Linked DNA regions of Arabidopsis thaliana. The protein of the gene in region 2 purifies or fractionates together with the protein of the main gene of each other region. This does not show direct contact. Each region holds a gene or a part of one and is shown on either strand. Other genes may lie near its edges.

Region 1 (7,499 bases), on a different chromosome or scaffold from region 2:
AATTGAGTATCCAAATCAGTTTTGTGTAAACTAGGTTTGGACACTGATCCGTAGTCATATGCCCTATATCTGATCTTTGCAACAATTCACTATGTATATGCGTTATTACCAAACCGAAAGATACCCGTTTAAAACTATCTCTACATATTTAGTATTTACATAATTACATATAATCTTATTTAAGAGAAAACAATTATATTTGAAGTTAGAAATCATGGTCTTTGAAATATGATGTTAGCTTTGAATATTATAATTTTTGGTTAAATATTCTGAAAAGAATATGACTTTTTAAGCATTAAAATGTTATAAAAGTATGAATACTGACTAAAACGTAACTTATAAAGTATTATTTTGTTTATATGGTACTTTTTTTGTGTGATGAACCTGTAGGCCCTGAAGTAGAAAAGTTGGCGGAGTTGGCCGGGAAGAACAATGTGTACTTGGTAATGGGAGCGATAGAGAAGGATGGGTATACACTCTATTGCACAGCACTTTTCTTCAGTCCACAAGGTCAGTTCTTGGGTAAGCACCGTAAACTCATGCCCACAAGTTTGGAACGTTGCATTTGGGGTCAAGGAGACGGATCAACCATCCCCGTTTACGACACTCCGATTGGAAAACTCGGTGCTGCTATTTGCTGGGAGAATAGGATGCCCCTCTACAGAACTGCTTTGTACGCCAAAGGTCAGCTCTTGATGCAATTTAGTTTGAGTGTTTGACAAATGTAGCCTTTAATAAAAGATTCTAACACTTTTTTTTTTTTTTGGTGCGTTCAGGCATTGAGCTTTATTGTGCACCTACTGCTGATGGTTCGAAAGAATGGCAATCGTCGATGCTTCACATTGCGATCGAAGGTGGATGTTTCGTATTGTCGGCTTGCCAGTTCTGCCTTCGTAAAGATTTCCCTGATCATCCTGACTACTTGTTTACCGATTGGTACGACGACAAAGAGCCTGACTCTATTGTTTCCCAAGGTGGAAGTGTTATTATTTCACCTTTGGGACAGGTTCTTGCGGGACCAAACTTTGAATCAGAGGGTCTCATCACAGCTGATCTTGGTAAAAATATATATAATCTTCTTTAGTTTTTATCTTAGGCTATAGAAAAGGATAATTTTTTTAGCTAATCATATTTTATTTTTGTCATCAAGATCTTGGTGATGTAGCAAGAGCTAAGTTGTACTTCGATTCGGTTGGACATTACTCGAGACCAGATGTTTTACACTTGACCGTAAATGAGCACCCGAAGAAACCGGTCACATTCATTTCGAAGGTGGAGAAAGCGGAAGATGACTCAAACAAGTAATCGGTTGTGATTCGTCAGTTCATGTCACTCCTATGAAGGAGTCAAGTTCAAAATGTTATGTTGAGTTTCAAACTTTTATGCTAAACTTTTTTTCTTAATTTTCGTTAATAATGGAAGAGAACCAATTCTCTTGTATCTAAAGATTATCCATCTATCATCCAATTTGAGTGTTCAATTCTGGATGTTGTGTTACCCTACATTCTACAACCATGTAGCCAATTATTATGAATCTGGCTTTGATTTCAGTTGTGTTCTTTTCTTTTTTTTCTTTGCATATTTGCATTTAGAATGTTTAATAATTAAGTTACTGTATTTCCACATACATTAGTTCCAAGAATATACATATATTAATTTATTTTTCTTAAAAATGTTTTGGAATGACTAATATTGACAACGAAAATAGAAGCTATGCTAAACCATTACGTATATGTGACTTCACATGTTGTTGTTTTACATTCCCTATATATATGGATGGCTGTCACAATCAGAAACGTGATCGAAAAAAGACAAACAGTGTTTGCATAAAAAGACTATTTCGTTTCATTGACAATTTGTGTTTATTTGTAAAGAAAAGTGGCAAAGTGGAATTTGAGTTCCTGCAAGTAAGAAAGATGAAATAAAAGACTTGAGTGTGTGTTTTTTTCTTTTATCTGAAAGCTGCAATGAAATATTCCTACCAAGCCCGTTTGATTATTAATTGGGGTTTGGTTTTCTTGATGCGAACTAATTGGTTATATAAGAAACTATACAATCCATGTTAATTCAAAAATTTTGATTTCTCTTGTAGGAATATGATTTACTATATGAGACTTTCTTTTCGCCAATAATAGTAAATCCAAAGATATTTGACCGGACCAAAACACATTGATCTATTTTTTAGTTTATTTAATCCAGTTTCTCTGAGATAATTCATTAAGGAAAACTTAGTATTAACCCATCCTAAGATTAAATAGGAGCCAAACTCACATTTCAAATATTAAATAACATAAAATGGATTTAAAAAATCTATACGTCAAATTTTATTTATGACATTTCTTATTTAAATTTATATTTAATGAAATACAGCTAAGACAAACCAAAAAAAAAATACTTTCTAAGTGGTCCAAAACATCAATTCCGTTCAATATTATTAGGTAGAATCGTACGACCAAAAAAGGTAGGTTAATACGAAATTACAAACATATCTATATACATAGTATATATTATTACCTATTATGAGGAATCAAAATGCATCAAATATGGATTTAAGGAATCCATAAAAGAATAAATTCTACGGAAAAAAAAAAAAGAATAAATTCTTTTAAGTTTTTAATTTGTTTTTTATTTGGTAGTTCTCCATTTTGTTTTATTTCGTTTGGATTTATTGTGTCCAAATACTTTGTAAACCACCGTTGTAATTCTTAAACGGGGTTTTCACTTCTTTTTTATATTCAGACATAAAGCATCGGCTGGTTTAATCAATCAATAGATTTTATTTTTCTTCTCAATTATTAGTAGGTTTGATGTGAACTTTACAAAAAAAACAAAAACAAATCAATGCAGAGAAAAGAAACCACGTGGGCTAGTCCCACCTTGTTTCATTTCCACCACAGGTTCGATCTTCGTTACCGTCTCCAATAGGAAAATAAACGTGACCACAAAAAAAAAACAAAAAAAAAGTCTATATATTGCTTCTCTCAAGTCTCTGAGTGTCATGAACCAAAGTAAAAAACAAAGACTCGAGTTGATATGTCTAGTACTAAAGATATGTCAACTGTCCAAAACGCAACTCCTTTTAACGGCGTTGCCCCATCCACCACCGTGCGAGTTACAATCGTCCAATCCTCCACCGTCTATAACGATACTCCTGCCACTATAGGTAACCAATCCATTAATTCATCCTCTGACCTATTTTTATTTTTATTTTTTGATATGTAAAATTTATCGAAAACGTTCCATTTCAATATGTAGACAAAGCGGAGAAGTATATTGTGGAGGCGGCAAGCAAGGGAGCAGAGCTAGTGTTGTTCCCGGAGGGGTTTATCGGTGGCTATCCTCGAGGTTTTAGGTTCGGTTTAGCGGTTGGCGTTCATAACGAAGAAGGGCGTGATGAGTTTCGGAAGTACCATGCTTCTGCTATTCATGTTCCTGGTATTACTATTTACTTCCATTATTTGTATTCTTTTTATTATCATCTTATCTTGTATTTTATCCATAAAATGATTTTTGATACATTTTTAACCAATCAATGACTTTGAACCATATCCTCAATTATTGCATGCTTATCCTAGGCCGAGTGTATTCAAAGTATACACCACCCGATCTCGGATCCAAGCCTACCAAAAATTTGGATATGCGGATCTAGATGACAATATTTATCCTGATCTTTATCTTTTAAATGTATAAATTACTATATGTTACATTAAATTTTATAATTTTTACACCAAAAAATATAATATTAAATCTCTTTAATTAAAGATTTTTTTTATTTCTCCTTTATTTGGTTGCTGGATTATGATTTTTAGTTGGCTATGGTTGGAGTCTTGGTGATGTGTATAAGTTTTGGACAATTGAATTTTATTTGGAACAAAGTAAACTTAACTTTGAGGGAAAATATGTTTGATTTCGAGTTCTCTTTTTTTTTGTCACGTTTAGATGAAATTTAATTGGAACAAGCATCTAATTAATGAGTGTTCTTGCTCTAGTTTAAATTTAGTTGAGCACTCTCAATATCTTGGAACACAAAATGACTCTTTTTGGTTTTTGTGATGAATCTTCAGGCCCTGAAGTAGCAAGATTGGCTGACGTGGCTAGGAAAAACCATGTGTACTTGGTAATGGGAGCCATAGAGAAGGAAGGGTATACCCTCTATTGCACAGTTCTTTTCTTTAGTCCACAGGGTCAGTTCTTGGGCAAGCACCGTAAACTCATGCCCACAAGTTTGGAACGTTGCATTTGGGGCCAAGGGGACGGATCAACCATCCCCGTTTACGACACTCCCATTGGAAAACTCGGTGCTGCTATTTGCTGGGAGAATAGGATGCCCCTCTACAGAACTGCATTGTACGCCAAAGGTCAGCTTTTAATGCAATGCCGTTTGAAACATCTAGGCTTTTACAAAAAAATCTTACAAAGTTTTTTTTTTATTTTTCGTTTTTGGTGTTTAGGCATTGAGCTTTATTGTGCACCTACTGCTGATGGTTCGAAAGAATGGCAATCGTCGATGCTTCACATTGCGATCGAAGGTGGATGTTTCGTCTTGTCGGCTTGCCAATTCTGCCAGCGTAAACATTTCCCTGATCATCCTGACTACTTGTTTACCGATTGGTACGACGACAAAGAACATGATTCTATTGTCTCCCAAGGTGGAAGTGTCATTATTTCACCTTTGGGACAAGTTCTCGCCGGACCAAACTTTGAATCAGAGGGTCTCGTCACAGCTGATATTGGTATGTATATGTATATTTACACTCTCATTTGATAGTCATCTTAGGTTATAGAAAAGGATAACGTTTTTTTTTTTTTTTCCATCAAGATCTTGGTGATATAGCAAGAGCCAAGTTATACTTCGATTCGGTTGGACATTACTCGAGACCAGATGTTTTACACTTGACCGTAAATGAGCACCCGAGGAAATCGGTTACATTCGTGACGAAGGTGGAGAAAGCTGAGGATGACTCAAACAAATAGTAAGAGACTTGAAGTTCGTATCTGCTGGAGTTATGTCAATCGTATGGAGTCAAGTCCAAAATGTTCTGTTGCGTTTTCATTTTATGTTCAAGTTTATTTATCTTTCTCTTCAATGGTAAGATCTATGGAGTCAAGTAATAATGGTAAGACTTATGTTGTTGAATAAAACGAATTGGTTCTCTCCTCTTGTATTTTAAAACTGTGCCATTATGTTTATCTAATTTGGGCGTTGGGCGTTGAATCTCAATTGTTGTTCAGCCGTATAACTATTTAGCCAACTATTATGAATTAGGCTTTTGAGATCTCTGTTTTTTTTTTTTTTTAATATCAGGAAGTTCTGGATCGAAACTTGTAATCCTTCCAGGCCCGAAACCACATCGTATAATATTAGTTTCGTTCCAAGCGTTACTCGAACCGATGAACTCTAGCTCCGCCTAGGATCTTTACCAATTGAGCTAACGACACTTGGTTTTTTCTCTCAGATCTCTGTTATGATCTTTCTAATTTTCTTTGTACGTCAAAAACATATATTTTCATGTTTTAATAATTTTCCTATTGCATAGAATCACAAGGAAACATATATAGTCAAGACTTGAAAATCATCCATTCGAATCTAATGAGAGTTTGAAAAGAGTCTACCAAATTACTCAATTGTCAAAAGCCGAATCATATAGGATAATGATGGCTAACCAAAACCAGGAAATTCAAGTCACATATAGGATAACTAAGAATTAGTGAGTTATTAAGTCTCAAAAATTAGAACGTCGTTTATTTATTTTGTCGTCAATTTTGCTATACTTCTATGGTTGTAGTATTGTTTGGGGTCAAATATATCAACCACCCCGCTCTTTACATAATTAACTAGGTGTTGTTCCATGTCTTGCGTACGTACGTCAGATTCATTTTAAATATGTGGTTTAGACATGTGCATGTGAAGAATACTTTCCGTGAAGAATACTCCCTTTAACGAAGACAATTTGGTTATAACATAAATACATAATTTGAAGTCTAGTTGCGATGGTGTTTGAAATGGTCTTAATTATAAATCACAAATTTGGATTGTAATTGATGAACATGGATTTTGAAATACTTGATTGAAAAGGAATCTATGTCACGTAGCTTTTTAACGAGTCAAAGATTGCACAATCGAAGCTACAAGCAAAAAGTTGTGAATAGCTGTATGCAAGACGTAGACGTTGCATTGCGAAGGAAAAGGAAGTCTCTATAAATTGGAAACCTTTGAAAATTCTAATCAAAGCGATCATTATATAATTATGATAACTCACAACTCGAGTTTTAACCCAAATACGAACTTACTTAACCGCGCATATTGGACAGTCAAATGCATGTTAGTAAGTCATAGCCAAAAGGGTCACACACCAGAAAATATTGGGGTACGTAGAACTTAAGTAAGACGAAATAAGTTTTTTTTTTGCCTTCGTTGTCAGAAAAGAATATCAAAGCATTATGCATATTTGCATGAATTCATGAATGTACAAACACACAAAGCACCAATAATGGGATTAAGAGTTGAAATCGTTCTAGAAGTCATATAACGAAATTAGATCAATCTTCTTTCAAAAAGTATAACCTAAATAGTTCAAATATATATGAATCATGTGCCATCCTTTGGATGAGAGAAATTTAAGAAAAGTTAAGTCGAAGTTGACCAGTTCACAGAAAAAAAAAAACAGCTAAACATTAACATTGATTAGCCAAATATTTTTTGCTCCTCTAAGTTACTATACGCATTTTAATTAAAATTTAGGTGATCAATCAAATATTAGCACGAAGATCATCCTAGATGGAAAACTAATTGAATAAATCTCTAAATCATCATCTTTAATCTAACAAGCAAAACAACTCCTTGATAATCCTAACCCCAATTGAGGATCTAACTTAGTCATAACAAAAGAACATAAGAAATAAATATAGAAGAAATATGTTAAAATATAAAATAAAAAATCCAGGTTTTTTTATTTTTTTGGTTTTTAAAAAGTTAGGTTTCATAAATGTTTTTAAATAAAAAGTGTAGAGTCAAAGATTCGATTCACCAAACTATCTCTTTGCCTTTCTAAGAACCAGAATAAAATACAAATTAGTTGAGGTGAAATGATATGGTGTAATTTTGTTTTTTTATTTTCTTGGTCCACAACATAATATGAATAATAACACATGAATGACACTAACACAGACCATAACTCACACCAATTTAGTATAATTTGTTAAATATATTTGCTTAAAGGTTTTTGTAGTGAGAAGTTACACATGAAAAGTACATAAATAAATAAAAAAATTACACAAAAAGACCTTCTTTGCTGTCGATTGAATTAATAAACATGTGCAAATTAATGTAAATATAGAAACACGACACAGCCAAAAAGAAAATAACATTTTCTTAGTGGTCCACAAATGACAAATTAAGTACATACAACTTCTTAGATAGAACCAAACGAAGAGAGGGGAAAACAAAATTACAAAATAAAAAATATTATCTATCACGTGGAAACAAAATGCATGAAACT
Region 2 (9,654 bases):
CGCCGAAACTCTGGTGGTATGGCTGCACAAGAAGAAAGGCTAGACAAGTATCCTTCTTCAACTGGCCGAGATGGTAATCATAACTAAAACTTGAGACAAATATGCACTTACTCCCTTGGCAATATCTATAACTTTTTCCTTCTACTCTTATGTCTGCATACAGAGAAGGGATCTGGCGTCTACAACTTGTCTAACCCCAATGAACAAACTGGTAACCCTGAAGTACCTCCTATCTCAGCATCTGACGATGGTGGAGAAGCGGCAGCGTCAAATAGGAATAAAGATGAGCCGGACGATGATGATCCATTCTCAAAACGGAGGTATTAGAGTTTAACAAAGGATTCAGGTGCTTGATTTGAATCTGTGATTTGACATGATTAAAACTTTATTTTAACTTTATGTAGGAGGATGGAGGGTGCGATGGAAATAACTCCACTAGTGAAACCCATCCGGGAGCCTCGGGTTGTTGTTCAAACTCTGAGTGAGGTTGACATTCTGGATGATGGTTATAGATGGCGCAAATATGGGCAGAAAGTCGTAAGGGGGAACCCAAATCCCAGGTTTGTACAGCATTAAAGCTTTTAACACCCCAAAAAATTCCTTGCTTTTTTCTCGAATGAACATACATAAACATAACTTGCGAGTTCAAAATGGTAGCTAGAACAGTTTAGTCCTTGTCTTCAGGACCTAGTTATTTGACATGTGCATAAAGTGTTGCTTCTTTTAGGAATTTGGTTTGGAATATGGAAGATAGTGATCTTAACAGACTCAACATGTGCGCAATGGAGATATTATGTTTCATGATGTTCCTCGGCCTTTTGTAGGAGCTACTACAAATGCACAGCTCATGGATGCCCAGTGAGAAAACACGTGGAGAGAGCATCACATGATCCAAAAGCTGTAATAACAACATACGAAGGCAAACACGATCATGATGTTCCCACTTCAAAGTCTAGCAGCAATCACGAAATCCAGCCTCGGTTCAGACCAGATGAAACAGACACCATCAGCCTCAATCTTGGTGTTGGAATCTCATCTGATGGACCTAACCACGCTTCCAACGAACATCAGCACCAGAATCAACAACTTGTCAACCAAACTCACCCAAATGGAGTCAATTTCAGGTTTGTTCATGCTAGTCCCATGTCATCCTACTATGCTAGCTTAAATAGCGGTATGAATCAGTACGGCCAGAGAGAAACAAAGAACGAGACTCAAAATGGTGACATCTCGTCCTTGAACAATTCATCTTACCCATATCCGCCCAACATGGGGAGAGTACAATCGGGTCCGTAAAACAAAAAGTAAGCAACATTATGTACGGGATCTTCTTAGGTTAGGAATGGGACGAGGCCTTGTTCTATATAATTCCTATTTCTTCACAGAGAGCTGATCTTGATTCAAACTATCTCCACCATATATATTTGTTTGTGTCACCTGTATTGAGTTCCAAAAATGTTATGTAAAAATACACAACAAGATGTTAATGCTTTTATTTAAACAAGAAACAGCAATATTACTACAAACTATTTCTTCTTCACCGTAATTAGATATGCTCCATGAAAGAAACACCACGACGGTACTTAAGCTACGTGGTCCTTAAGCAGACAATTACAACTGTTGCCCGTTTTTCAATAATAGTTTCTCAACTTTTAGTTCTAGACTTCTAGATTTGTCAAAAACTCATAATAATGAGATATAAATACTTCGACTAGGTGATTTACCATGGGACAATATTAAACTTTGTTCAATTATTTGGAAGGTTATACTATACAGTCTCTATACAAAATTAAGAGATTTGTGCAAGAAGTAGATTGGCAATTAAAACAGTAACCTTATTCTCTCTTACATGTATCTAGATTATTTGGTGGAAGTTACAATCTCTAATTTCATATTTAGAACTTTTTTTTTTCCGAAGCATTTACTGTTGTTAAAGACAAACATATTAGATTCTTTTAGATCATAGTACCCGTTAAGCAAATAAAAATTTTGTCGCTATCAAACTAATGACATTATAAGTCATTTATAATCATCGTCGTCAAAATAGTCTTGTTTTTTTCACCGGACCAGTGAATCATTTTCATCTTTTGCGGAAAGGTAAAAATCGGATTATCATGTTAATTTTTTTGCAAAAATTGACAACGCTATTTATGGTAGCGGATCGAATCCATCATAAAAAATATTTAAATATAAAATAACAAAATTTGTTAAAGTCACTTATACAATTCTATTCAATTAGATCATTTTACCTAATATAGCGTTGTTTAAATCAATTATAATTGAACATTCAACGAATTCGTTAAATTTCTTTAAAAAGAAGTACATTTTAAGAAAGAGTTTGTTTTAATCATTTGTTCAATCACATAAACTTAGCTTCCTTATCATAAAGAAGTAAAACAATTTCATTAATATTAAACCGATATAGCAATTATTACGTATCAATTTTATTTTTATCTGTTATATAGTAATTTTATAGATAATTTATTTACAAAACTATCATATCATTGAAAAATTACCAAATTAAATTTGTAGTTAAAAAAATATATTTTTCTATAGGTCACAAACATTGAATATGTTAACTTTTTTTGTCCAAAAACCTAATATAAAATCCTTGAAATATAAAGTCTAGGCTCGGTACCTGGTTCGGAACCGGACGTTAGGGTAGTTTATAGCGTCATCGATCCACGAGATGCATCAAACATAAAATCTGAACCGTTGATGAACTCTATTACAGCAATGAAATCGGACGGTAATGATTCATCCTAAGCCTGACGTGGCATTAAATTGTATTTAAAATCTGGCTTTGCGTCCGAATCCTTGAATTTCTCTCTCCTAAAAAACGCTATCAAAAAGAAAAACAAAAGCTATTTGTTCTGTTTTGTAAGAAAAAAAGTAGTTAGAGGAGAAAAAAAACTCAGTGCCGAGTCTTGTGATACTCTGAGGTGAGATTCCGAAGTCTTCTGCTTTAGAACCCTGTGGATACTCTGCTTAAATCTTTGTGAGCTTTTATGTTTTGAGCTTTGTTTGAATTCGCATGTTCTTTTGGTTCTTCTTTGTGTTTGTTTAAAGTTGCGATGAGAAGTTAGGGTTTCTCATGCGCTTCTTTTATTTGTGAATTTCGATGTTTTGATTATTTATTGTCTTTTTGATATCTGATGCTATTAAGTTGTTGACAAAATGCATGAATTTGACGTTGATTGACTTGATTTCGAGAGATTCAAGATGGGTTTGTGTTTTGTCTGAATCTGTGTGGTGTAAGCTCTGGAGATTTGTCTGAATGAAAGGGTGTTTTTTGGTTTCATTTGTCCATCTGGATCTTTGTTCTACTGAATGTATAAGAAGCGAGGATAAATGATGAACCTTCGAGATTTTGGTTTCTTAGTGACTTACGCGAAATTTCCATTTAGTTCTTCTTCTGCAGATCTAAAGTGGGATTAAGTGATAATTATGGATCAATAATGAGATCTAAATTAGATTTGTCTTATTGTTGACTAGCCAAGTTTTAGATGTTGTTTTCCTGGAATTAGTTTTTTTTCGCATATATGCTAAGTGTGAATTCAATGCGTTTTACATGTTCTTTATGTCAAGTTGTTCAATTTCTTTATAGAGAGCATTAATTTCTGCTATCGTAGCAATATTAATCCTCTGAACTGATTTCTCATTCACAGCCACAAGAAGTGTTTTTGGTGGAAGGATCTACTGAACTGGTTTGTAATATGGGGGAAGATACAAAGGCAACCATTGAGCCAACCGCAAACAAGACTACTTCTCTTGAAAAGCCATCAGAGGCTATGGCTGGAAAGGAGAATGCTGGGGGTAAGGAAACACAAGAACTGGCGAAAGATGAGGATATGGCTGAGCCAGACAATATGGAGATAGATGCTCAGATTAAGAAAGATGATGAAAAAGCTGAGACGGAAGATAAAGAGTCAGAGGTTAAGAAAAATGAAGACAATGCTGAGACTCAAAAAATGGAAGAGAAGGTTGAGGTCACCAAAGATGAGGGACAAGCAGAGGCTACCAACATGGATGAAGATGCCGATGGAAAGAAAGAGCAAACTGATGATGGTGTTTCAGTGGAAGATACTGTAATGAAGGAAAACGTGGAATCTAAAGACAATAACTATGCCAAAGATGATGAAAAAGAGACCAAAGAGACAGATATTACTGAGGCAGACCACAAAAAAGCTGGGAAGGAGGACATACAACATGAAGCTGACAAAGCAAATGGAACAAAAGATGGCAATACAGGAGACATCAAAGAGGAAGGGACACTGGTAGATGAAGACAAAGGGACAGATATGGATGAAAAAGTGGAGAATGGGGATGAAAATAAACAAGTGGAGAATGTTGAAGGAAAAGAAAAGGAAGATAAGGAAGAAAATAAAACAAAGGAAGTTGAGGCGGCAAAGGCTGAGGTGGATGAGTCAAAGGTAGAAGATGAAAAAGAAGGGAGTGAGGATGAGAACGACAATGAAAAAGTGGAGAGCAAAGATGCAAAGGAAGATGAGAAAGAGGAGACAAATGATGATAAAGAAGATGAAAAAGAAGAGAGCAAGGGTTCTAAAAAGCGTGGGAAAGGGACGAGTTCTGGAGGAAAGGTTCGCGAGAAGAATAAAACCGAGGAAGTAAAAAAGGATGCAGAGCCTAGGACTCCTTTCTCTGATCGCCCTGTGCGTGAGCGGAAATCTGTTGAGAGGCTTGTTGCATTGATTGATAAAGACTCCTCGAAAGAATTCCGTGTTGAAAAGGTTTGCCAAAACTTTCCTGAGCTGAGTAGAACTTTATTGCTAGATATGTTTATAATAATCCTTTGGATATTACAGGGGCGAGGTGCATATCTCAAAGATATTCCCAATGGTATGTTCATATTCTATCTATCTGTCCTTCAAGCATCTATCTCGAATTATCCTTGTGCTGAAAAGTCTTTTGTGTTAGCTTTCCAAGTTTACAGTTTGAGCCCCTTATTATCTTCAAGTGTGCGTAGCCTAAACGTTCTTTTGTTACGAGAATTCTATGTGCTGGATACTACTAGTTGTTAAATTGCATGTATACTATGGGTGGATTCTTTGATCTATACACTTTTCGGTTCTGGTTATGTGAATCTTCATTTGAATTTTTTTTCTTGGCATTGATCAATTCCAGCCGGCTCAGAAGCAAGATTTCTTGTAAACCAAAATCTAATAATCGCGACCTACCTAAAAAATACCTTTATTGTTCCATTTTTTCATCTTTTTATTTTTGTTTGAAGTTGAAATGAAGTAGATAACTTGAATGTTTCTTCTCTGTAGTTGCTAACAAGGTAATGAGGAAGAGGTCTGATGAAACTTTGAAGCTGCTTCACCCAATTCTATTTGGTGGGAGGAGAGGGAAGGTGAGCGTCTCTTTGGATCCTTTTGACATTATGCTGCTCCAATAGTCATACTTCTAAAATTGTCAATCATGGGCATACTCTTGTAGTTTGAGACCAGTGGTATGGACTCATGTGCTGTAGCAAGTCTGCTAATCATGTTTGTATGTATCTTATTCTTCTTGCTTTAACAGGCTGCTCAGATCAAGACAAACATATTGGGCTTCTCTGGTTTCGTTTGGCATGGAGATGAGGTGTGCAACATTACACATAATGAATGCTTTTACATATGCCTTTGCTTTGTATATAATTGTGGCTCTTTGGTATTTGCAGAAGAAAGCAAAAGAAAAAGTAAAAGAAAAGCTTGAGAAATGCACCAAAGAGAAACTGTGGGAGTTTTGTGATGTGTTGGACATACACATTACCAAGGCTACAACAAAGAAGGTCATTATGGTTATCAATTTCTAAGTTTTTGTTCTTGAGATTCATTTTTTTCCTCTGTGAATAGATACATGTGAAGGTTTAAATTTCTGTCTTTGTTGAGCAGCTTGATTAGCCATTTCTGGTTGTCCAAGTTTATGCTTATTCATTTCCCCATTTAATCGAATCTGGCAACTTCTTGTTGCATGCTTTTTCAACACAGGAAGATATTATTACAAAACTGTTTGAGTTTTTGGAGAAACCTCATGTGACAGGTGATGTGACCGGTGACACTACAGTTTCTGAGAAAGAGAAGGTAATGTGGTGTTGGGAAAGTTTTGTTTGCTTTAATAACTATTGTGCATCTTACATTCTTTAAAAACATTCTGTTGAAACAGTCAAGTAAGGGAGCAAAACGCAAGAGAACTCCCAAGAAAACTTCACCTACAGCTGGGAGTTCATCCTCCAAACGATCAGCAAAGGTAATGCATAGCTTAGAGCTGAGGGCTTGCTTGTTCATTAATCTTGTTATTAACTCTGAAAAGAACGTGTAATCTCAATGTAGCTTATTTGCAACTGTCCATCACTGGTCAACCCGTCAATGTTTCTGGCTAAGTATTTTAATCTGATTATATTATTCTGCACTTCCTTTGCAGAGCCAAAAAAAGTCTGAAGAAGCAACAAAAGTTGTCAAAAAGAGTTTAGCTCATTCTGATGATGAATCTGAAGAAGAGAAAGAAGAAGAAGAAAAACAAGAGGAGGAGAAGGCAGAAGAGAAAGAAGAGAAAAAAGAGGAGGAGAATGAAAATGGCATTCCTGATAAATCTGAGGATGAGGCGCCTCAGCCTTCTGAAAGCGAGGAGAAAGATGAATCTGAGGAGCATTCTGAAGAAGAAACTACAAAGAAGAAACGTGGTTCTAGATTGTCAGCTGGGAAGAAAGAATCAGCAGGGAGAGCCAGAAACAAGAAAGCAGTGGTCGCTGCAAAATCCAGTCCACCAGAGAAGATTACACAGAAGCGGTCATCAGCCAAACGAAAGAAGACTGATGATGACAGTGATACAAGTCCAAAGGCGTCCTCTAAGAGGAAGAAGTCTGAAAACCCTATCAAGGCCTCCCCGGCTCCTTCAAAGTCTGCATCAAAAGAGAAGCCAGGTTTGGTCATTATCCTGTTTTTTTCTTCCAGTAAGATGGTCGCTTAGGTAGAATAAAAACATGTTGGGTGTAGTGTATGTCAGATGCATTGGAGAATCTTATTCCTTATATCTTCATTTTCAGAAGCGAACCAATATACAACCACTAATGTTTTCTGACACCATGTTTATCTCTGTTTGTGTCTATATGCTAAAAGTAAAAAGGGCTGGAAAAGGGAAAGACAAGCCGAGTGATAAAGTGCTGAAAAATGCAATCGTTGAGATCTTGAAAAGAGTGGACTTTAGTACGGTGAGTAATTTCTCAACCTTTTATATGCGATACACTTAACTACTTGGGATGTGTGTGGAATAAAACAAAATTGGATTCTGCCGAACAAACTTATTGGTTACATGAAATAACCTTCGTTTTCTGAAAGCTGATTTGAAGTTTGTTGTGCAATATCTATTCAAACTGTGAATTTCCTTCTATACCTAGATAACCTAATAAGAGCATTGTTGTTCTTCTGCAGGCTACGTTCACGGACATCCTTAAAGAACTTGGTATGAACAGATTGGTTTCAGTCATTTGTTTTTCCAGTGATTCCTGGTTATATATAAAATAAACACATTGTTTCATCCATCTTTCAGCTAAGGAGTTCACAGAAGATCTCACTCCAAGAAAGTCATCTATAAAGATGATAATCCAAGAGGAGCTCACCAAATTAGCAGATGAGGAGGAGGAGGAGGAAAAGAAAGAAGAGGATTCAGAGAAGGAGGAAGCAGGAGGGTCTGGTGGTGGTGAGGAGGTGAAAGCCTAAACTCCTTTCTGATCACATCGCACATATTGAGTCTCTCTGTCAGATACTGTTGCCTAATGCCTAGTAGTCATCTGGCAAATGTGTAAGTTAAATCTGTGGATGTAATATTTTGTTGTTGGAGTCTGAACTGCGTAAAGCAGCTTTACTTTTGGTAGAGACAAGAGGAAGAAGCTGCATAGCCAAAGGATAGGTTGCTTGTATGTCTATAGCATTTAACATAAAAGCCTCCTTGGATTGTCTTTGATTTGTGAGGCTCCCTTTTCGAGACATTGTCAAGGTTTCTTTTGTTTATGTCTTTTGGTTTGAAGGAGGCCAATGGTAATAAATGAATAATATGTTTCTCTTGATTCCCTTTAAGACTTTGAATATTGCAGAAGGAATTTATGCTCATCTTGTATCCTTGATCTATCTCTAACATATCTGCAAATCTACCAACGCAAATCCAGTCTAAGAAATGTAGGAATTGGTACCTCATAAACATATACAACAAAGATTAACATTGATGAAGAAGAGAGTCTGTATTCTTACAGGACCAAAATATACAGAAAAGAATCTGTGCTCTTCTTCTACATCCCCTTTTCGGACAACCCAAACACAAGTTCCAAAAGAATGTAATTGCTGTTGTTACATTCAGAGTACCTAAATAGATTGCAATGGAGACACTGCAAATACATAGAATTCAAAGCAGATGGCTAAACATGGTTAACTATAAGCATAAGCAACACTTGTCCAGGCTTTTATCATTCTGGCTGCAGCTACTATTATCTTATTTGATGTACTAGATTCGAAAAGACCTGTCACACACACAAAGGCAAAAGTACCGGTCCGATTGCAAAATAGAATATCGATTAAGGAGTAAACCGGAATAAGAGTAACGGAATATACTTGACAGACCTCTCTCAGTAGAAGAATCACTGAGAAACTTTCACTTCTTCTTCGTCTCCGTAGTTTCAGTTTCGATCTGTAAAGTTTCAAACTTGTGGTCGAATTTTTAAATGGGAAGTGGAAGAGATAGAGACGACCCTTTATCCTTCACCAGCAATCCATCTACGGCGTCGTCTCCAGTCACTGTATCTGACTATCTCGACAACTTTCTCGGCGAACCCACTTCTCGCTCCGGTAGTTTTCAAAGCGAGAGCTTACTCGGTGGAGGCGGTGGAGAAAGCATCAACGACGCTGATTTTGGATTCGCTCGTCCTGATTTCCGATCGGAACAACTAGCTGGAACCGTACAGTTTTACGAGAGGCATGTCTTCTTGTGCTACAAAAAGCCATCTGTTTGGCCCGCAAGGATCGAGGCTGCTGAGTTCGATCGATTGCCTAGGCTACTCTCTGCTGCTGTATCGGCCAGAAAGGGTAGCATGAAGAAGGAGGTCAGCTTTTTACTCTACTATTTTCTGATTCCATTGATTCAGCTTGTTCGCTGTTAACTTGCATCTCCTGTTTCCAAGTATATTGCTTGATTCTCATAAATCTAGGTCTGATTGTTTCCAATAAGTCTCCCAAATAAGCAAAAAGCATTTGCGTTCACTTGTTTTGGCTTACTTAAAGTATCTGTTTAAGGTCGTAATGAGTCATAAAAACTCTTGCCTGGTGACTCTTGGGATTTCTGTATGGGTCAAATAAGGCAAAGTTTCTATTTTTGGCACGATTCTATGGCTAACAACATAATAACTTGTCTATTGGCTTCAAGATGGGATCTTAGGACTTGCACCTCCGTTTTTTGAGCTATGACAGTGGTGAACTTAAGTGGAAATGGTGTCTGTAATGGATTGCTTCTTTTCGGATAGTCTCATGATGATGCCTTCATGATTGTCTTTTGCTTTGTGCCTCATGTTTTTTTTTTTTTTTTTGGCCATTGTTTCGTAGACTCGACTCACAATATGTGAGGGGCATGATGGAACAGAGACATCCAATGGTGATGTACTTATTT
Region 3 (6,654 bases), on a different chromosome or scaffold from region 2:
AACTAGACTACAATAATACACATGAAATTTTCTTTTGGTTTTAATAACAATGATAATTTTCTTTTGGCTAAATAAAATTGATAATTAATATTACCATTATCAAAAGTCAAAACTGAAACAAATTGTAGAGTTACGACTTCAGCTTCTATATATAATCTATTTTTTTAATATCAGGCGAGAAATGTACCTGCACAGGATGATTTAACATGGCCATAACCACTGCATAAGTTGTAATCATGTATTAGATTTTTAAAACACCAATATCTTCTAGTGAATTTTGAAAATGATTGTGATAACGATGCTGTTTTGTTCCATTATCTTTCAAACATTATAAACCAGTAAGACGAATATAAATATTAGAGTTTCAAGTTATCTATATATAACACACACAAAAATGTTTCAGACACTTATAATTGATATAATTAATGTATATGGATTTGTGCACAACAAACAAAAAATGACTTATTCACATGCAAGTTTTTGGGAATTGCTAACTTTGCAACCACGTATATGTGTACAATTGAAAAGTCACATAGAATGACGACTGCATAGACCTATATTATTAAAAAAATAAAAATTGTCCATTTTGATCAAGAATGATGGATCATAATTTGATGTATATATACGTATGATGATTATAAAATCACATATTTTGGGAGACTCACGTACGCCTTGAGGAGACCAAGACCAACCCTAACCCCAAAGCTTAATCGCTTTAGCAACGACAAGGACAAGACACCACTTACTTCTATGGAATCTTTACCACAATGTGTGTAATAATCTAACAGCTGAGTAGAATTTGCTCACACTGATACTACATACAAAATCTAATTGTATCAGTCATTCACATGTGAAATAATGTATGATTTAAACGAAAATTATGTGTATAATAATTAACGTAACTGAAGATAAAAAATATAAAATAAATATTTGCTTATTTTATGTGTGTTAATTGGAGATAAGAAAAAATTGGTATTTTATTTGAAATCGTGGTAGAAAATTTCTCAAAAGTCGTACTAATGCCTTGAGTTTTGATCAGTTTTGAGTTTTTTTAGTTTTTTTTTTTCTTTTTCTAATTGTGTGCCATTTGTAGTGTTTAGGTGTCTTTTATGTGTACATAGTTGTCTATCGATTCATTCAAGTTCCAAACTGCTTTTAGAGAAAAAAAAAAGGGGGGCATTAATTGGGGATGTTATCGACATAAGTATGTGTATATGGGATGTGATGAGAGATTTTTCATTGCTGGATGGAGCTCAAATTTGGCATATACTAGAAAACTGAGAGAGTTTTATTTGGAGGTGGTTTGAGATCATTCGAATGGTTGAATACTTTTTTAGAAAACAGATTACTTTTGCGAAATTTGTTTGAAAACAAATTTGGCATATACTAGAAAACAGATTTTGAACCTTTTCTCTAGTTTAATCTAATCATGAATTACTTTACAGTTTCTTTTGTGTTTAGAGATTGACACCATATTCTTCTTGATGCTCACGTTTCTCTTTAGGGTACATACGTAAAACTCTACTTCCCCTTTGGTTTCCAAGATTGCTTTCATCTCCATAGCTTATTGCTCATTCATCGCCTAACAAAACATTACACGAAGCATGTTGTTTAATGTAAACCAACATCATGAGACAAAGAAATATGTCAGTAAAACAATAGATTTCAGTCACTCTATATCTAAAGATTTAACGACATGCTTTTGATTTCCCTTGAATGCAAGAACCAGTTCTTTCTTCACAGGAGTAATCACAAGTTTCTGAAATAACAGAGAACCCATATTAAGAACAAGCTATAGAGACAGAGATGAACATGTTGACTTGATTACCTCTACTTCTTTAGGTTCTGGAAATTTCTCTCAGCCACAGAGCAACTTTTCCTACCTACGGGTTTTGATCATCAATTCTCTAGCTGTCAAACGAAATGAAGAAAATACAAGATAAAAGTAAGTTTCTTACCGAGTGGGCACGTAAGTCGAATGCAGACCTATCTGCTATACCAACACATTCAATCCACCCATATGAACTCTCAAATTCAGCATCCAAACAATCTGCAGCATAGCGGGCCATTTCATTTGCAAAATGCTGGCGGAAACGCAACTGTTCCTTGTCTGTGCCAAGACGGACAAGGAAAAGATACACTCTCGCAATGAAGTAGCCTACAGTTTCTTTGTTCACAGTTCCCTATTCAAATACAGTTGCAGGCATCAATAAGCAATTAAGAAACAAAAGGTCTGAGGGAGTGCATACTAGAAGTAAGTAGACGCAGATGATTACAGATACTGACCTTGGCAACAACTTCGCCAAGGCAAAGTTTTTTCGCAGATTGGCCAGACATTTGTTCCTCTCTTGGAAACATAAGGAATTCAAAATTTGCTACATCAGAGAATTTCGGATGTGACTTATTCCCAGGATCAACAAAATGCTCAATTTCTGCCAGCGTGAATTCACAAACTCTAAGAAGCCCTTGACGATGAGATATCTGCAAGTAATATGCGTCACTTATTAAAAGCCAGACATAAAAGAAAGAAAAAAGAGTCCCTGATTGAGATAAACACATCCAATCTATCAAGCAAAGGAATAGAAAATTAAACGATAATCACCTCATTTCTAAAGGTTGACCAATTTGAGCAGCAGCAAAGGGAAATTTCCTCCCATTGTAGTAATACAAGTCCTTCACAAAAATGCCTTGTTAGAGTGTTCTTCGTGTCTGGAGCAATAATCCTTAAGCAAGTGGTCCGTCCGCACTGTAACAAGTTCCAGTTTTCTCATTCTTAACCATTAGATCAGTGAACTGGTCTACATGTCCAGATGCCTTGAGAACAACCTCTGGTGTCACACATGGACAATCCACTTCATACATATTCTCCTTAAGAATGAAATGCTATCTGAGAACAAACCTAAAACAATCTCTACTCTTCTCTATGAATCATGTCAAATTTGTCTCAATTTCTACTCAAAAGAGAAAGGTGAATGATGTTCCGTACTTACTTGACGCCAGAAGCTAAGAACATTGGATTTAACAGCACAATCCTTAATCAAATAGTCCGGCGACGTCACGGTTGATTTTGAAAGAAGGGATATAGAACAAACGCCGCTCGAGAGTATTAACCACATTTTGTCGAAATCAGCAGCTCCATGGCTGCATCAATCGTGAAGCCTTGAGAGCTTGAAGACATTCCCCTGAGCTTCGACGGAGGAAGATTTCGCCTATACTGATTTCCGCCGTTTGAATTTGATCGGAGCATTTTGTTTTTTCACAAACTTTCATATCTTTAACGACGTCGTTAGTACTGAAGAAAAACCCTAAAGAGTAAAGACCCTAACGGCGTCGTATTAAAACCCTAAAACGGCTTCGTATTAAAACCCTCTGTCTTATAAATAATCTCTTAAAACCCTTTCTTCTTCTCTTACATTTTCAGCTGCTCATAAACCCTAAAAATCCTCTCTTTTTCTCAACCTTGATTCTTAGCCATGGAGTTCTGGGGTAAGAATCTTCTCTGTTTTGTCTGAAGCTTTTTGGGTTTTTCTTAAAATCTGTTTTCGAACTCTCTTGTGGCTGCTTCCTTGTGTGGTGTAGTTGTGTAGCTTCATCTAGGGTTTTAAGTTGCAATATTCTCACATAGAAATGGTTATATTATATAGGAATTAGTGTGGTAGTGTATAACTTGAAGCTGTATCTTGATACTCATGTTGGTTTTTGTTAAAACGATGTAATCAGGAATTGAAGTTAAATCAGGAAAGCCAGTTACAGTGACTCCTGAAGAAGGCATTCTTATCCACGTTTCTCAGGTTTAGTATCAAATCTTATTGATTTTGATTCTGAGAGTTGTTAGAGGTCTAGTGTAAACAATCTTGGATTGTTTATCTGTGTAGGCATCGCTTGGAGAATGTAAAAACAAGAAGGGAGAGTTTGTGCCTTTACATGTAAAGGTTGGGAACCAGAACTTGGTTCTGGGAACTCTATCGACTGAGAACATCCCTCAGCTTTTCTGTGATTTGGTATTCGACAAGGAGTTTGAGCTTTCTCACACTTGGGGAAAAGGAAGTGTTTACTTTGTTGGATACAAAACTCCCAACATTGAGCCACAAGGCTATTCTGGTGAGTTTGCAAGATAAAATCTGTTTCAATTCAATTATTCTGTTTGTAACTGTAATATTGGCTTGGTTGCTGATGATTCGTTTATGTGTTGTATTGATATATTCAGAGGAAGAAGAGGAAGAAGAGGAAGAAGTTCCTGCTGGTACTTAAACTAGACAGAGACTACTTGATTTGTGATCCTGATAATTGGTAATAACTAGTTCCATTTGCAGGGAATGCTGCCAAGGCTGTAGCTAAACCAAAGGCTAAGCCTGCAGAAGTGAAGCCAGCTGTTGATGATGAAGAGGATGAGTCTGATTCTGACGGAGTGAGTTGTTATAGCTTTCTGTGATTTGTCTCTTTTTGTTTACCATTTCAGAATAATGACTGAGGAGATGAGACATCTTTTTTGAACAAATGTTGGTGACGCATTCTTGTGTTATGATTCTTGCAGATGGATGAAGATGATTCTGATGGTGAGGATTCTGAGGAAGAAGAGCCTACACCTAAGAAGCCTGCATCAAGCAAGAAGAGAGCTAATGAAACTACCCCTAAAGCACCTGTGTCAGCAAAGAAGGCGAAAGTAGCAGTTACTCCTCAGAAAACAGGTATAGATACAAACCATTCTCTTACATTATTCACTAAATTGGGAAACACGAGTATTCATTTGAACCTGCATCGTCTTCTTTGGCACAGATGAGAAGAAGAAAGGGGGAAAGGCTGCAAACCAGAGCCCAAAGTCGGCCAGTCAAGTCTCATGTGGTTCATGCAAGAAGTGAGACTCTCTCTCTTTCTCTAACTCTTGTCTTCACTGCTCAAAATTTCTGTTTGTTATAACATTTCGCTTGTTGGCTTATATCTCTTTGGCAGGACTTTCAACTCAGGGAATGCACTTGAGTCTCACAACAAGGCCAAGCACGCTGCTGCCAAGTGAAGTGGTTTCTTATTAGAGCTTGTGATTTCTATGGAATTTTGCCTGTAGTCTTTATGAAACCTTCGGATTTTCTTATATTTTCTTTTGATAACAAGAGTCTTAATGAAAGAGAGCCAGTTGGAGTCTTATTACCACTATATTTCAACATTCTATCTTGGCTCAAATGTGTTAATTTTAGATTCACGTTTTCACCATTTTCTGTTTCCACAAATCTGTTGGCCAATAGCAGAGTTTATTAGAAGAATAAATGAAGGTTTCACAACATTAAAAATGATCAATCCTTTAAGCCAGCAACTAATTTGAAGAACAAATATCCTCTGTTTTCATTATTACGGTTCTAGTTTCTTCACTGCTCTTAATGCTAAGTGTATGATTGTATGATTGCATTACTAGACTCAAGCTTATAGCGTGGTTCTTTATCGGCTTTCAACTTTTAACAACTATCTTTGCCAATCATTTTCACAAGGCTCATGTTTTGGAGGAAACATTGACAGGAGTCTTTCACCAGTTTTTTTAACCCCAAAGGTTAAAAACCTGCCAACAAGTATTTCATAATAAACAATTTCTCTGGAAACAATTACTAACAAAGAAATTGAAATCTTTCAAGAAACCAGAGAACTAGTATCAGCCACGGTTACAAAATTAGCTTCACACACGAAGAAACACAACACAAAACCAGAAACTACTGATTTCTATTAGGAAATTATCAGAGCAATCAAACTTGAAAGACTGGAATTGGGCAAAATAAAGCATGATCATTTAAAAATGAAATAGTACCTGTTAAAATGTAAATCCATGAACAATTGTAATTTATAGTAATCTGTAGAAATATTGTTGATCAACGAAAATTGTAATTGAGCACTAAAGATTTTTTCTCACTTCTCAGACACTCATAACAAAAGAAATATCTCATATCAAACCACTACTAAGCGATCATTACAAATCAAGTAAGATAATCTTCCAAGGACAATCAATAACCATCTCTTTTCGAGTTCATCATAAATTTCAAAGTTAGTAATATCATATTTTTTTAATTAATACATAAACCACACAAACAAACAAGGTATTCAAGTTAGCACTAAACTACTCAACACAGAGATTAAGGTAAGAAAAAACCCATGTAACAAAGCAAGCAAATACTACACAACAAACAACCGAAGAAGTCATAACTTCAAAGCATAAACCACCATAAACCACACAAGCACATATTCAAGTCAGCATATTAGACCATACAATACACAGATTTAAGTAAGTACAGATCATGCGCAACTAACAAAATTCAAGCCATAGCTTCAAAGCATAAACCATGGTCCACATAATAGTCCATAAAACAACCAATAAAATCATATTCTCACATCTAAATGTTCGTAACAATACTAAACAAGTAAAAGGTATCTTTTTCACTTTATACCCTGCACTAAGGAGAGTGATTGTCAAATAGATTCCACTGAATCAGTTGCTCAGGTATTCAAAAGTAGAAGCTTGTTAACATAAGATTTCTAACATTGGTAACTATATCAACCAATCTAATACAAACATAGGAGAAGCACATGACAAAAACCACAGTTGAGAGAATTACATGAAGAGTATGTAGACTGTTGTGAAAGTATTATCGAGAAACTCTTTGTGATCGATGAGAG
Region 4 (5,831 bases), on a different chromosome or scaffold from region 2:
TATGAAATTACAGGTGGTTGGTGTTCCAGTTACTACAAATGGAGATCTCAAAAATCAGTTTGTGGAGGCAAACGTGGGTTTTGACACCATATGCAAGGTAAAATGTAAACTTTAACCATCTGGTTACTTTGTCTTAGTTATCTTTTGTAGCTATTGCAGCAACATGATGCCGTTGTCCCTCGTAAGTCTTTGCAGAAACTATATGTTATTGTTTGCTAATGATATTTTGCGGCATACAGGTGAACTCACAACTCATTAGCAATGCCTGCACTGATGCCCTTTCTGCAGAGAAGGTAAAAGCTATTTCTTCCTGAACTTTCATGTTGCAAGAGATTGCTAGGGCATTCTTAACTGCAGTTTATTAACTTCATATTCTGATAAGACGAAATATTTCGATGAAGGATGTGAAAGCAGAAAGCTACTACAAAGTTATATTCTTTATGATTCTGATATCAAGTTCTACTTTCTTTTTTATTTGCAGTATTATTATTTCATCCGCCTCATGGGTCGTAAGCACTCTCATGTTGCCCTTGAGTGTACACTCCAGTCTCATCCAAACATGGTTCGTAACTGTTTCAGTTTCGAAACATAGACTATTGATTCTGTTGGCATGTTCATGCTCTAGACTCTCATTATCGTGTCATCCGATTGTCTCAGGTGATACTGGGCGAGGAGGTTGCAGCATCTAAGCTCACAATTTTTGACATTGCTAAACAGATCTGTGATGCTGTTCAAGCAAGAGCAGTAGAAGGTCTCGTAATGAAAACCATCTATGATTAGATTATGCAATCATGTATTTTACTGTGTTTACTAAATCTGGTACTATTTCATTTGTTTGAACCAGACAAGAATCATGGAGTCATCCTCATTCCTGAAGGGCTTATAGTCAGTATTCCTGAAGTCTACGCTCTGTTAAAGGTAATGATTTGATACTTGTTTCTTTCTTCAATACTGAGATGTACTTCTTAGTATAAATCACGTATAAGCTGACATTTGTTTGATGTAGGAAATTCACGGGCTGCTGAGGCAGGGTGTATCTGCTGATAAGATTTCTACTCAGCTCTCACCTTGGTCATCTGCTTTGTTTGAATTTCTTCCTCCATTCATTAAGAAACAGGTTCAAATTCTTTGAAATTAGAATTATCTTTGTTTTCGTTCAAAGCAAAGGTGTATTAATACATATAAGATGGTCGCCTTTCTTGCTACAGCTACTTCTCCATCCTGAGTCTGATGATTCTGCTCAGCTATCCCAGGTAATTATGAAGAACAAACAGAATATTTTGGACCTACTATGTTATAAAAAAAAAGTTGGAATCCTAAATGCTCTTTTTGCTTTCTACTCTAGATTGAGACAGAGAAACTTCTTGCGTATCTCGTGGAGACTGAAATGAACAAGCGCTTGGTATGCTCCAATTTTATCATTGGTTTCTATCTTTTCCCAATACTGTTATCTAAATAATGGAGTCATTATTTGGCATCAAAAAATACTATTGCTAATGTAATGAAATCTTTGAATTTGACAGAAAGAAGGCACATACAAGGGGAAGAAATTCAATGCCATATGTCACTTTTTTGGTTACCAAGCTCGTGGATCTCTTCCATCGAAATTCGATTGTGATTACGCCTACGTAAGTCACTAACAGTCTGTGCCACAGTACCAATGCAACTTCATAATTTAGATGAATATTAACACTATTGAATGGGAGAATCATGCAGGTTCTTGGACATATATGTTACCACATCCTTGCAGCTGGTCTGAATGGTTACATGGCAACAGTGACCAACCTAAAAAGTCCTGTGAACAAGTGGAAATGTGGTGCTACACCTATTACAGTTGAGTTTTGTCGTATTTTCTATCTAAAAGACGGCGGTTAATACAGTGTATTTCTATACTAATTCCCCATTCTTTTATCTCTGGTATTACCTTTTAGGCGATGATGACGGTGAAGCATTGGTCCCAGGATGCTAGTTATACTTTAACTTCAATTGGTAGACCTGCAATTCATCCAGCTATGGTGGATTTGAAAGGCAAAGCATACGAGTAAGTCAGCTATTACAGAAAACATGAACACACTCACGTTTGGCCTTATTTATCAATTGTTTGAATGTGAATGGTTTTCTTGCAGCCTCTTGAGACAGAATGCACAAAAATTCTTGATGGAAGATCTGTACAGAAACCCAGGACCGCTACAGTACGATGGTCCTGGTGCGGATGCTAAAGCAGTGAGTCTCTGTGTTGAAGATCAAGATTACATGGGACGTATCAAGAAGCTGCAGGAATATCTTGACCAAGTAAAAACTTTTTGTTTTTGTGTTTTTCTCTGCTAATTTCGTCAAGTATCGAATAATGTTCTTCGCCACTTTCATATTTATTAACATTTTTGGGGTTTGGTCAGGTGAGGACGATAGTGAAACCAGGATGTTCTCAAGACGTATTGAAGGCAGCACTGAGTGTGATGGCTTCGGTGACTGATGTTCTTACTACTATTTCTTCAAATGGTGGTCAATGATTTGCTTAAAACTTAAGGACAAAGCTCTTATGAATCACACACGTCGTGTTTGTTCTCTTCTTTTTGTTTTCTTTCTTTTGAGATGTAACTTTTGTTGTATTTTTTAAGTTATTGAGTTTGGAAAGACATAAAAATTGAAAAGGTTTGGATTATAGAGGCGCTATTTCACCATATCAATCCTTGTCCAACTTTTATTTTTCAGTTTCACTATTATTACAAACTTTTTTTAAATATGACAATTAGGCATGCATGCATGATGCATATAGCAATAGCATCGCTTGAACACGATTTTGTTTACAAAAAGAATCATTAAAATTTTAAGAGTTACATTTTTAATCTTAACTACACCAAAATACTAGAAATACAGTGTATCTTGCAAACTAACTTTAACAACCAATGACGTGTCATGTTCCCAAATCCCAGTTATAAATTTTGATAGATTTTTGACAGTATCTTAGGTACAGCTTTGGCATAAATACACTTTTATTTATTTTAAAAACTATCTTTAGCCTAAATACATTGTTAGTTATTTAAAAATTAGAAACTAAATGAAGAAATTATTTAGATATTAAGAAATATTTATCATTAAAAGATATTAGATTTTGTCATTTTTTTATATTAGTAAATTTTCTTTGTTCAACTAATGAAATTAATAACTAACAGATTATTTTGCAAAATGACAAACCTATAAAATATATATTAATATTTGATTTTCAAATTATCTTGCAAAATCATTCAAAAATTTAACTAAATTTATATTAATGTTGTATTTGAATTTTTCTTATAATGGTGAGATACTGAGATTATCCTTGATTAGAATTGATTGTTACTTTTTTTTGGTAATAATATGTTGTCTATTATTATATATATATATATATATATATATATATATATATATATGTTGAAAATAACACAAAAATATTCACATACGCCAAGCAAAATAGAATCATGAATAATTTGCCAAGAAATTCTCAATTTGATTCATCTTCCATCATCAATGATTTACCTTTAGACCTTCTCGACGAGATTCTCTTCAGATTAGAACCCAAATCTATGGCTATGATGCGATGCACTAACAATTCTATCAAATCATATTTAAGTGATCCAAGATTTGGACCGGAATATCCTTCATGGGTCAGACCTAGTTTGTTTAACCTTGGTAGCTATGGCGCTACTTATGTATGTTGCCATCCTTTGGTCTCTTCATGCGATTATATGTCACCGGGAAATGGAGTAGAACTGTTTGATGGTAGTGCGGATTGTTACATTTTCGGCTCATGCTCTGGTCTTCTCCTATTGTACATTGGTTGTCTCTTTGTTGCAAATCCCTTAACAAAAAGGTTTCGAATCCTGGATCATTCTGGATCAAAGCTTATACCAATGATAGTTAATGGTGGACTTAAAGGTCTTAGCGGAATTAGTTATCCTGGAGGTAATGTTGCTTGTACGGAACGAGCGATGTGCGTTGGATTTGCGGTAAATCGAAATCTAACAACCAAGAGATTCAAGATCGTGGGCATACTCGAGATGGAAAACGTATACGGATTCGAGATCAACGAAGGAGACTCTTGGAGATTATCGGAAACGAGTATCACCACTAGCTCAAAAAGTGATCTCACTACGCGGATGAAACCTGTTTACTTGGACAACACTCTTCACTGGCTGAGAAACGATGGCAGCATCATGTCTTTTAATCCCGAGACAGAGCAAGCATGCTTGATTCCTTCCATATTTCATCGGGAACCGGATACGAAGCTACTTTTCGCGGAAAGCGTTAAGATCAATCGCCTGACCCTAATTTCGGGGACGATAGAAACAATCTCCGTTTACACACTTGTCGAGAATCACAAATGGACACTCACAAGGCGGATCAAGAACATATCTATCGAGGAAGAAACGCTTGTATATTGGAACATAGCTATGTACGATGGCAAGTGTCTTGTGGTGAGGGTGAAAAAGATGGGTTTAGAACCTTTGGCAAGTGTTCTTCATGTGTACGACATGGAAGCTAACAGTTGGGGAGTTTTGGTGTCAACCCTTGCTTGGCCCAATTGCGTCCGAGATTTCTATAAATTGACGCCCTCCTTGTTCTTTGTAGAGGAGGATGAGCAACAGAAGGTGCTTGTTGCTTCTAATGACCGACGCATCTCCTATATAAATTCGATTATGGGACTCATTGATACCACCAAGTAAACATTTAGGGCCTATAGATTATACAAAAAATGTCCTGATTTATAAGAATGTTTGTTTCCCATTTGCTTTTATCATTGCACTATTATGGTTTATGTATTTCAAATCTAAAAATTAGTTGTATATTACTATTTCTTTTGGGACAAAAAATCATTTAAGACAATGTTGTTTAAGAACTTGTTCTTCTCTGGCTTGTCAATTTTTCGTCCTGCCCAATAAAGGCCCATCTTGTGTGTTTTGTCGAATCTAACAACAAACTCACACCTTTTGACCAAAAAACAAACTCTCCCCTTTTTTTTTTCCTTTCGTGTAGCTAAACCGTCTCCGGATGTTGACAAACATTGGTTATTCACTTTTTCCACGTCACACTTAAAAACAGAACATAAAAAAAAAACTAATGACGACGCTCCAGTTTTGAATTTTGAAAAAAGAAAAAAAGAACCGTTGAAAAAACATGAGTGCTCAAAGAGGGAATATACCTTTTTAATAATCTCCTTCCTATTTAAACCAATTCTCGAATCTAATTACATTTCCTCTCTCTTTCCCCAAATTGAAAACAAAATCTGAGATTCGCGAAGGAAGAAGAAGAGTTGTCTTGAGAGATTGATAGAGATGGACAACAATGGAGTTAAACCCGCTGTTTCCGCCATGGAAGCCTTTGAAAAGCTTGAGAAAGTAGGTGAAGGGACTTATGGGAAAGTTTACAGAGCAAGAGAGAAAGCTACTGGGATGATCGTTGCTTTGAAGAAGACGCGTCTCCATGAGGATGAAGAAGGTGTTCCTCCCACTACTCTTCGCGAGATCTCTATCTTGCGTATGCTCGCTCGTGATCCTCACATCGTTAGGTTCGATTTCCTTTTACATTTCTGATTCGGTTCAGTCACTTTCTGAAATTCTCCGATTTACTGGTTTTGATTGTGGATTTAGGACTCAATTTCGATTTCTAGGGTTTAGTCCCGATTAATTGATGTCTCAATTGATTTGATGACTCTGATTCTTCCTGCAAATCGCGCTTAGTGTCGCTCTTAGGTGTTACTGGTAGATCTTAGTTTCAGTTTGCTATTTGTTGTGTGGTCCGATCGAGATAAAATGGGTTCCTTATCTTATCCGAATACTAGAAAATGTCAAAGT

Evidence for each region.
Region 1: the proteins of AT4G26630 (region 2) and NIT1 purify together in Arabidopsis thaliana (affinity purification with western blotting, with the first as the bait; one study listed by BioGRID). This does not show direct contact.
Region 3: the proteins of AT4G26630 (region 2) and HDA3 purify together in Arabidopsis thaliana (affinity purification with western blotting, with the first as the bait; one study listed by BioGRID). This does not show direct contact.
Region 4: the proteins of AT4G26630 (region 2) and AT1G20940 purify together in Arabidopsis thaliana (affinity purification with western blotting, with the first as the bait; one study listed by BioGRID). This does not show direct contact.

Annotation. Positions count from the first base shown.
Region 1 is NC_003074.8:15,983,868-15,991,366, forward strand, and holds NIT1 (nitrilase 1), read left to right. Parts: upstream 1-2,756; 5' UTR 2,757-3,033; coding exon 3,034-3,163; intron 3,164-3,206; exon of another isoform or gene 3,207-3,255; coding exon 3,256-3,435; exon of another isoform or gene 3,436-3,875; intron 3,876-4,064; coding exon 4,065-4,358; intron 4,359-4,451; coding exon 4,452-4,733; intron 4,734-4,819; coding exon 4,820-4,974; 3' UTR 4,975-5,638; downstream 5,639-7,499. Other genes in the region: NIT2 (nitrilase 2), read left to right, coding at 391-684, 777-1,058, 1,151-1,305. UniProt on the Arabidopsis thaliana protein: Can convert indole-3-acetonitrile to the plant hormone indole-3-acetic acid.
Region 2 is NC_003075.7:13,428,940-13,438,593, reverse strand, and holds AT4G26630 (DEK domain-containing chromatin associated protein), read left to right. Parts: upstream 1-2,823; 5' UTR 2,824-2,942; exon of another isoform or gene 2,943-2,998; intron 2,999-3,668; 5' UTR 3,669-3,716; coding exon 3,717-4,751; intron 4,752-4,826; coding exon 4,827-4,860; intron 4,861-5,291; coding exon 5,292-5,374; intron 5,375-5,544; coding exon 5,545-5,604; intron 5,605-5,683; coding exon 5,684-5,794; intron 5,795-5,993; coding exon 5,994-6,086; intron 6,087-6,168; coding exon 6,169-6,252; intron 6,253-6,426; coding exon 6,427-6,925; intron 6,926-7,121; coding exon 7,122-7,213; intron 7,214-7,433; coding exon 7,434-7,464; intron 7,465-7,551; coding exon 7,552-7,721; 3' UTR 7,722-8,189; downstream 8,190-9,654. Other genes in the region: WRKY20 (WRKY family transcription factor family protein), read left to right, coding at 1-73, 164-320, 405-560, 825-1,296; AT4G26620 (Sucrase/ferredoxin-like family protein), read left to right, coding at 8,717-9,094, 9,591-9,654. UniProt on the Arabidopsis thaliana protein: Chromatin-associated protein which contributes to the modulation of chromatin structure (such as super-helical structure of DNA) and function.
Region 3 is NC_003074.8:16,294,572-16,301,225, forward strand, and holds HDA3 (histone deacetylase 3), read left to right. Parts: upstream 1-3,116; 5' UTR 3,117-3,473; coding exon 3,474-3,486; intron 3,487-3,720; coding exon 3,721-3,791; intron 3,792-3,875; coding exon 3,876-4,101; intron 4,102-4,207; coding exon 4,208-4,243; intron 4,244-4,313; coding exon 4,314-4,408; intron 4,409-4,534; coding exon 4,535-4,688; intron 4,689-4,776; coding exon 4,777-4,855; intron 4,856-4,950; coding exon 4,951-5,014; 3' UTR 5,015-5,305; downstream 5,306-6,654. Other genes in the region: AT3G44740 (Class II aaRS and biotin synthetases superfamily protein), read right to left, coding at 1,839-1,883, 1,959-2,183, 2,287-2,481, 2,603-2,746, 2,991-3,116; AT3G44753 (uncharacterized protein), read right to left, coding at 5,455-5,548, 6,594-6,654. UniProt on the Arabidopsis thaliana protein: Probably mediates the deacetylation of lysine residues on the N-terminal part of the core histones (H2A, H2B, H3 and H4).
Region 4 is NC_003070.9:7,294,146-7,299,976, reverse strand, and holds AT1G20940 (F-box family protein), read left to right. Parts: upstream 1-3,458; coding exon 3,459-4,703; downstream 4,704-5,831. Other genes in the region: AT1G20950 (Phosphofructokinase family protein), read left to right, coding at 14-97, 240-293, 482-562, 658-751, 845-918, 1,007-1,117, 1,209-1,253, 1,346-1,402 and 5 more; CDKB2;2 (cyclin-dependent kinase B2;2), read left to right, coding at 5,313-5,545. UniProt on the Arabidopsis thaliana protein: Probable component of an E3 ubiquitin ligase complex.